Callithrix jacchus: one gene and its partner. The protein of the gene in region 1 binds, or shares a complex with, the protein of each later gene. Links are inferred from orthologs where the notes say so. Each region holds a gene or a part of one and is shown on either strand. Other genes may lie near its edges.

Region 1 (4,394 bases):
CAGGGAAAAAAAATCTTTTTTTTTTTTTTTTTTTGGTAAAATGACAACCAGCGATAGGAAAAAATACTCTTAAAAGATATATCTGACTGTGAATATTTTTAATCCATTGATGAGATGGTGAGAAAGTAAAGGCAAACTTCACACTGGTAAAAGTTATGCAAAACCAGAAATCCAGACAGTGAAAACTGAAGTCCCAATGAAACGTGACACTATGGTGCCCTTAATACTGTTATGACGGTCACTGAAAGCATAGGAAATGAGGGACAAAATGTAAAAGGTCTGATAGGAGATTCCCTGCATAAATTTGGGAACTGCAAAGAGCTGCCCTTTTTTGTAAAAGTGAACAAGAAAAGAAAAAATTCAACTCTATAGAAGGGGAATTTGTCTTAGTAGGCAGGAGAGAAAACTCTCTCCTGAGAATTTCTAACCATAAGCTAACCCTTACGTGGATTTGCAGCTCAAATTCATACTATCTGTCTGCTCCAAAAAACATGAAGCCAAGAATTTATTTAAAGTAATTCCAGCTTGATAGTGCTTCAAGGAAAAGAAATGCAAATGCTGAGAATACAGCACTCACTCAAGGTCTCAAAGAATTCCTACAGTTCAAGTTCTAAAAAACTCAAATTTATAGACAAAATCACAAAACAGAAAAAAGGCACCATGAGAGAGCAGAAACAAAAGACAGCAGCATCAGAAGACAAAATCCATGGATATCAGAATTATGAGACATAGACTATAATAACCATAATTAATATTTTAAATATATAAAGAATGAACAATTTAAAATATGATTAAGGAACTGAAAATTATTTAAAAATTGAGGAGATTTGAAAAGTAAATAGAATTCAAAGTAATAGCAATAATAAAAAATAATATTTAAAATAAACTGAAGACAGAATTAGTGACATGGAAGAGGGACCTGAAGAAATTACCCAGAAGGTGGCATAAAGAGAAAAGCGATTGAAATATGAAAAGAGGGTGAGAGAAATGGAGGACAAAAGAGACACCTCTCTTCTTGTAACTAATTAGAGGTCCAGAATGTGAGGACTGGGAACATGGGGGAAAGGCAATATTAAATGAGATGATAGCTGATAATTTTCCAAGGCTGATTAAAAAAAAAAAAAATTCACTCTCAGTTTCAGAAAGTGCAACAAATCCCAAACGGAATTTTTAAAAAATCACATTTTTATATACTGTAGTGACTGAAGGACACCAAAGACAAAGATGATGTCTTAAAATAATTCAGAAAGCCCATGTTCCCTAAATCGTGCGTGACTAATTTTCTCCAATGTAAAGCTACCTTGACTGCAGTTGAAGACTGCAGTATAAGATGCCGACCACTAAACAATACCTGCTTCTTATGTTTTTTGTTTGTTTGTTTTTTCATTTCCTTTTATATATCCTAAAAGTAGGTCAGACAGGGTAGCTCATGCCTGTAATCCCAGCCCTTTGGGAGGCTGAGGTGGGTGGATCGCTTGAGCTCAGGAGTTCAAGACCAGCCTGGGAAACACAGAGAAATCCCATCTCTACTAAAAAAAAAAGAAAAAAGTGTAATAAAAAAAATAAAAAAAAAAAACCAACCACAAATGTTCTTATTACCAGAACTGCACAGAAATGGGACGAAAGGAAATGGTGGTTTAGAACAACAACAACAGAATCACTGGATTTGTTTAGTTAGCAAACAGACTGAGCAGAGGGAGGGGAAGGGATGCCCACTTGCAGTTGGTACAGGTGTAGAAGACAGTTTGCCCTTCGTCTGCTGAACGCATCTGTCTGGTGTGGTAAGCCATTCCTTCATGACCACATCGAGAGCAGCGCCTGTCAACCTGGGAAGAAACCGGTGGGTTAGGGAGGCCAGTTCATATCCCCTCACTTCCCACAGGAATCAGGCGATCACTCCTCTCAAACATGGATGCTTTACATCTCTTTTCCCTCTTGGACTTGGGCACACAACTCTCCAGATCTCTGCAATCATTCCTCCGTTTCTTTCCTACCCACCTTATGGAGCCAGTCATTGAGCTCATTAACTTACCACAGGTCCCTGGAACTCAGGCCCTTCCTCCACCGACACAGGCATGGCTGTCCCCAGCTGGTGGAACACAACTGAAGTCTTCACAACCTTCCCCTCAAAGTCTGCACAGGCAAGTAAGAACTGGTTATGGAGACAACCAGAGGGAGCTGACACCGGAAACCTCCCCTTTCCCCTGACTGGTTAGGCCAGGAAGCCCTATATCCTTTCCTTCATTTTTCATCTCGAGACCAAATGTACAATTGCCTGATCTCCTGCTCTAGGGTCCCCTGCCGATCTTGAGGTCCCCAAGTTTCCGACCCTGGACCCTCCGCCAGGACCACTGCGTACAAGCCTCTCACCCCGAACGTTGATGTTGAAGCCACAGCGAGTACAGGTAACCGTATCCTGAGCCCCTGGCAGAGGCAGGACCGAGCCGCACTCTGAACAGAAATCCAAGTCCGACTGAAAGCTGGAGCAAGTGCTGGCTAGGTCCATGACGCATATGCGGTCAGGCCTGAAGAGGGAGTTAGAAGTTATATTAACAAAAAGAGAGGAATCCCCCCAACACAGAGGTCATAACAGTTCTGTCCCAGTACCTGGGAGTATATAACCCGAGCTCTCCTCCCACGCACGCCTCCTGCCTCTGTGACCAGGGAGCTGAAACGCCCGGAATGGCTTACCAGCTAGCGTCGGGTAGTAAAGGACTTGCAACCCTTTCCTGGGGCCGGCGAGAGGAGCGAGCCAACTCCATGGGCTAGAGCGGCAGCTCTACGCCCGCCGCTCAGCGGCGAGCTAGAGCCGGCTAGAGCGTCACGCATTCGGGCTGACAATTGGTTGTGACGTCATAAATAATTGCGAACCTTGTCTCGGGAGCCTTAGAGATGGAGCCTAACCTCTCCGAAGGGAGTTTGCGGCTTCACTTTCACCCTAGTGCTGAGACGTTGAGCACAAAATTCGTAGCCAATGCTGCGCTTCCAGCAAATTTTCCCACCAGTACCCAATCCTCGGATATTTATTCTTTGTCTCACATCCTACAGGAACCGAGTCCCGGGAGATATCCCCCTGAAAACTGTATTTTGCTGAATACTGATTTCTTTGGATTAGAGAACTACAACTATCCCTGATCCTGAGCAGGTTTTTCCCTTTTGCGGCTGCAGAGTAGTTAAAAAGAAAGCTAAGTGTTCTGGGACGTACAGTTTTAGTGTTCCTTGGGTCCCGCTGGAGAACGTGGGCTTTCAGCAGAGCGCAACTAGCCTTGTGTGCTTTGGGAACAGTTCGCCGCTTGTAAGGGGTAAGTCGGATTCTTGAGGGACCGCAAGTGGTGAGGGTGAAGTCAGGAGGTACAGGGTCCAGCCCTACAGGGTTCTGTGAGCCCCTCTCTGTTGGTGTGGAGAAAAGAAACCAGAAATAAAAGACATAAGACACAGAGATAGAAAGTTTGGGTGGGGTGGCGTGGGGTGGGGGGGGTTCACTGCCAGCCAGATCGCGGAGTCCGGCAGTGGCCCCGGTCGTGTCTGCGCATTCTGACTTTTTTTGAGTACAAAGCTGAGGGCAGGGTAAGTAGGTGTGGCATTGGTGGTTGGTGGTCAGCAACCAGGGGAAAGGTAGATGGGGCGTAGCAGTGATAGGGTCAAGTACATCACATATCATACAGGTACGGACCCAGGAATTTCTAGGAGCCGGGATGAGGCAAGGAGCCTAATGCGTTAGCACTTTTCCATACTTGTTAAGAAAGAACAAAGACATTAAGTTTATATTACTCTTACTGATTATCTCTTCTAAGAAAATAGGAACCTGGTACAGAAGTAGGACATGAGAGTGGACATGGAATGTGACCACTGAAGCACAGCATCACATAGAGACAAATAAGCCCCCGGATGCCTGTGGGTCTACCTGACAGCTGTCAGGCCTAAGGCAAGAGATTGGAGGAGTGGAGTTTTCGCTTAACTCCCCCGGTGAATGAGACGTCTCAGCCAGCTTTGGACGCCTCCTTCCCTAGCTGGCTCAACAGCGGGCATTTTCTCAGTGCTGACGCGGTAGCACAGCAGAGGCGGCCCTAGTCGCCCTTATGCAGGCATAGCTGCTGTAAAGCGTCTTGCTTTAGGGTCATTGCCCTCACAATGTCACCCCAGGTTCTCACTTTCCGGCCTGAGACCTGAGAGGCATTAGTAAAAGAATTAAGATCACCTATAAATAACTAAGATCACTTGTGAATAATTAAGCCATCACTATTTTCTCTTGTGAAGGACAGAAGCTGTAGTCTTTCGTTGGAAGAGGCTCCCATCTGCCTTTCTCTGTAATGGAGAGAACACCATAGCGAAAGGGTTAAAACTCAAACTGCTGAAGAATGACAAGGCCTATCACTTAACTGTGAAATGGCTTG
Region 2 (4,383 bases), on another chromosome or scaffold:
CTAATATTAGATTTTGGGGGCAGTTTCATCCGACTATCATCTCATGCTGAGTTTGCAGTCATTTAAGGAATATCAAAGAAAATATTTTTTGTTTGTCTTGTTTGATCCTCCTATCATCTCTCTAAGGTAGTATTATTTTTCCTATTTTACAAGTCAGAAATCAGGTTGAGAGAGGTTAGAGGCATTTTCCAGTATCTAAGAGAGAAGGGAATATGTCAGTATTCACATCACTGCTATATGTGTCTCTTGCACTTACCCAGAGTAACCCTTTTCCACTTAGGTTGTGAGTTCTTTATCACTTATTTATTAACTTATTATCAGGTTATTCATTCAGGATGCATTGATTGGGTTTTTCTTAGTTTTGGTTCTGTTTCTTTGGAGGAGGGATGAGACATGTGGGCCACTGCAGTGAACAATACAGATTATGGTACCCGCTTTAGTGACTGTAGGAATCTATTGATGGAACAGGCAAGCAAATGGGCTGTTAATATAAAATTAACGTAAAAACGAACATAGATGGTTACTTACTCCTTATAGAGAAAAAGGAATAGGGTGGTTGAAAACTCTTTGAGAAGGAACAGAATGTAAAATCTAAGCTAAAAATTCATAGATGAGTAGAAGTTACCCTTGTGAAAAATGTTATATTCCCTGATAGAAGCAACAGCTTAAGACTAAAGAAAGAGACCTGAGAGTGGATTAAGGAGCATGATAACATTAGGGCGGGGAGTCTTGCAGCTGGTCTAGATCTTGTGACAAATGAAGCTGAAGAGAGAAGCTGTGGGCTGATCACAAAATGGCCTTGTAACTTATAAACCATTTTCAGGAGTTTATGTTATCCTGGAGGGACACAACATGATCACATGTTTCAGGGAAGCTCTGGCTGCCGCAGAGTGTCCTCCCGACCATTAAGCTAGGCTTCCACAGGCAGAGTGTCCTGAAGTTTTGGCAGCAGGAGAAGAGGATAGTGTCCAAATACAATATTTATACATAAGGCAATACAGGCCTTCAGGCTGATGTGATATTTGGGGATACAAAAGAGGATCCGAGGCTGACACCTTGGCTGTGACGTGATTCCCTAATTTAGCAATTGCATAATGAGGAGAGAAGCGGAACAGGAGAGAAATAGTGGGCCCGTTTTCAGACATGTTGCATTTTAATTATCTGAGCTGTTGCTTAGGATTTCGTGTACTGCATAAAATATACTCCATAAATATTTTGAATCTTTATTGTACAGTACAAGTTTGTAAAATTGTACCAAACCACCTTACCACTGGAAATTATCAAACTGAGAACCCCCCTTTTTAAGCTACCTAGTAAATAAACCCAGTAAGTTTCAGTGGGAAAAACACACATTTGCCCGCCCTCAAAAAAGCAGTTGTTTGGCTTCGCGCATGCTCAATATGTACTTGGGGCTCTTAAACTCCTCTTCAAAGAGCGAAAAACCTGTTTCCCCCTGCTGGCCAGACTGCGTAATGCAGCGTCAAGAGGGCAAATTCCTAGGGGCGTGGTAGTTGGTGGATGACGTAAAAAGAGCGTCGGGGACAGGCGATTGCGCTTGCGTCAACGGTGCGCGCCGCGGGAACCTTGACAAGCAACATGGCTGCGGGTTGTTCAGAGGCGCCGCGGCAAAAGGCGGCTTCTGATGGGTCTCTGGTAGGGCAGGCTGGCGTCCTACCTTGCCTAGAGTTGCCGACTTATGCCACTGCTTGTGAGCTGGTGAACAATCGCTACTCATGCCTGGTGGCCGGGCCGCACCGAAGGCACATCGCTCTGTCGCCCCGCTACCTTAATAGGAAACGCACTGGCATTCGAGAGCAGCTGGATGCGGAGCTCCTGCGCTATTCTGAGAGGTACTGATCTCTTTGCCTGTTCCTTCTTTTGTGCACGGGAAGTACCAGCAGGTGGATGTGCTGATGACGTAGCAAAAAAGGGAGAAATGGTAAAGGTCGCACTGCCCCCCAGAGCTTATACCCGTGGAATTTTAGAGTCTTGATCCGTCCCTCAAGGCCAGTACCGCTCTGGTAAAGATCTATACAGGGTCCCTTTCAGATAGAGAAGAAAACTTAAAGGTGAAGTTCAGGTGTGGGCGGAGGAAGTGGAGATTCTCGCTCCAGATCCCTGATGGTAGGGTTAGGAACAGAGCAGGGGTCTGGAGACCTAGTAGGCCCGGTTCTGTATGGCATTCAACGTTTCATTTATCCCCTTCCGGATGATGTTTTCTCATTTGACAATAAAAATTTGGTTTGCAGTGCTTAAGTAGATTCTCATTCCATAGAAGATTGCACATGAAGCATTAATACAACTGTTCTATTTGTAAAACGTGAAGCACGTTTTTGTTGGATTTTGCTCTGGTAATTTCCCCAGGTTCTCTTCTTTTGGATCTGATCTGGGGATGATGAAAATGCCATTAGTTTAGTGTTGTTGTTGTTGTTGTTAAGACGATTTATGCAATCGAACTAGTAAACCTGTTGCTTTTGGGTGAGAAAAACCCAAAACGTATTCATTTATATTACAGTATTCAAAAGCAACTTGAAAACTCAGAATTACAGAAGTATGTGTGTGGAGGGGGTGCAGGCATGTGCTTTAGTATTCCTCTGGACTATACTTTGGTTCAAAAGAGAGGGTTCTAAAACTAGAGTGAATGGATTTCCTAGGAATTCATGATTGCCCTTCAGGAATTCCCATGTGAAGTTCCTTGGGTGCTGGTATCCAAAGCTTTTACCATTTTCTTAAGGGATCCTGGACCAACACACACAGGCTGATAGTCAAGCATGTCTAGAATATACAGCTTCTGCCAAGCACCAACACACAGTTCTTGTATGTTTATATTATATACTGAGAATTTGAGATATAAAAACAAACAAAAAATTAAATCCCTGTTTCAAGGAGCTATATAAGCTGTAGTAGAGATACAGATTCAAGCCAATAAATAGTGAAGTGTTAAAATTTGACAGAAATCTAATAAGGTAAGGAGTGTTGAATTTGGATCTTGGGACCTTTGAGAACAACTTGACAGAAAAGGGTACTTTCACATGATAGTATTCCAGACAAAGAGAGTGGCATAAACAAACGGATACTGGATGTGAACTGGTATGCTATGCCTAGGGAGCTGTATCTATTATATAAGCAGAATAAGGTGTATGTCAGGGGAAAGGCATTGGAAGTCACTGGAGAGAAGGGCAGGGGGTCAAAAATGACTCAGAGTATGGCTATTTTGCTTTTCCCTTCCTGCCATTGCCAGTTTTTGGTTTTAGGGGTGAAAAGTATGGTTGTTTTTCCTTTTGTGTTTCTGTTTTCTTAGGCAGGGTTAGTGCTTCATCCTCTCAATACCCTTTAACTCTGAGACCTCACACACTTTTGAGAAAGTAGCACATGTTTGTAGTCCTGGCATATCAGATTTGCACTTTAAGAAACAGCACTTGGTAGCCTTAATGGTTAGCTACCAAATAGGATGAGAATGTGGACAAGGAGATGAATTAAGATAATATTATAATTGTCTAAGAGAAAATGGTTAGAGGGGATGGTTTTTAGATTTAAGATTATACAAAGTGGTCATAACATCTGGAAACACAAGCAACTATTTTGTTTTCTGTCATCAGTATTGCCTGCACTTGACAGGCTAGGGGAAAGTCACCCAGAGTGGCTCTGAACAGATCTGGATACCATTCCTTCCACATTACTTGAGTATGCTGAAGACTCCTATTTATTCAGGTGCAAATCAGGCACCACACTTTGAACTATGCTTTGCTAATAAGGGACAAAACATTGAATATATATTACCAAAGAACTAAAATGAGGCTACCACCTTGCCCTGATACCCATTTAGAAAAACAAAAGTGAAGGAGGAAAAAGTTTATAGTGTTGGGTGCCTGTGTTCACATATCTGATGACTTTTAATAAAATCTCCCCTGAATTTATATATTGCTGAATTCCTGATAATTTTAATATATATTAAAACTATGCAAAAATGACTTTGTGTTTACGACTTTTAAGAGTCAAATTATGTGCCTAGCTATTTGTAAACAGATTTGTCCCTTTATTCAAAAGTCAGAGCTATTAATATTTCCTCATTGTACAGGATGGTCCTGTACATGGCAGACTCTTTTCTTTCCTGGATTCGACAAGGTTTGTGATAACCATGAATAGTATCACAAATTTCCAAATGGCCCACTCTTCCGTGCCCCACAGGGGACCACAGTCCTCCTTCCACTTGAGAATCACTCTCTGATAGTTGAGAGATTTGATTAGGGGAAATAAAGTCTTAATTTTTGTTTTTCTCTCTAATATGGCAGTTACTTTTTCTTCCTATTCTCTAACTCTGTTTTCTGTGTCCCTAACATTTTCTTAGTGATAGGATGATTCCATCTTAGGAATGCCACATGC

Evidence for each region. The genes of interacting proteins can lie anywhere in the genome.
Region 2: POLR1H (region 1) and POLR1F share a complex: the UniProt entries of both Homo sapiens proteins name them as parts of the RNA polymerase I (Pol I) complex. The link is inferred for Callithrix jacchus from reciprocal best matches to the Homo sapiens genes POLR1H and POLR1F.

Annotation. Positions count from the first base shown.
Region 1 is NC_133505.1:34,798,330-34,802,723, reverse strand, and holds the start of POLR1H (DNA-directed RNA polymerase I subunit RPA12), read right to left. Parts: upstream 2,806-4,394; 5' UTR 2,763-2,805; coding exon 2,692-2,762; exon of another isoform or gene 2,526-2,691; coding exon 2,371-2,525; exon of another isoform or gene 2,293-2,370; intron 2,134-2,292; coding exon 2,033-2,133; intron 1,827-2,032; coding exon 1,717-1,826; intron 1-1,716. UniProt on the Homo sapiens protein: Core component of RNA polymerase I (Pol I), a DNA-dependent RNA polymerase which synthesizes ribosomal RNA precursors using the four ribonucleoside triphosphates as substrates. Can mediate Pol I proofreading of the nascent RNA transcript.
Region 2 is NC_133512.1:38,561,178-38,565,560, forward strand, and holds the start of POLR1F (DNA-directed RNA polymerase I subunit RPA43), read left to right. Parts: upstream 1-1,575; 5' UTR 1,576-1,596; coding exon 1,597-1,850; intron 1,851-4,383. UniProt on the Homo sapiens protein: Component of RNA polymerase I (Pol I), a DNA-dependent RNA polymerase which synthesizes ribosomal RNA precursors using the four ribonucleoside triphosphates as substrates.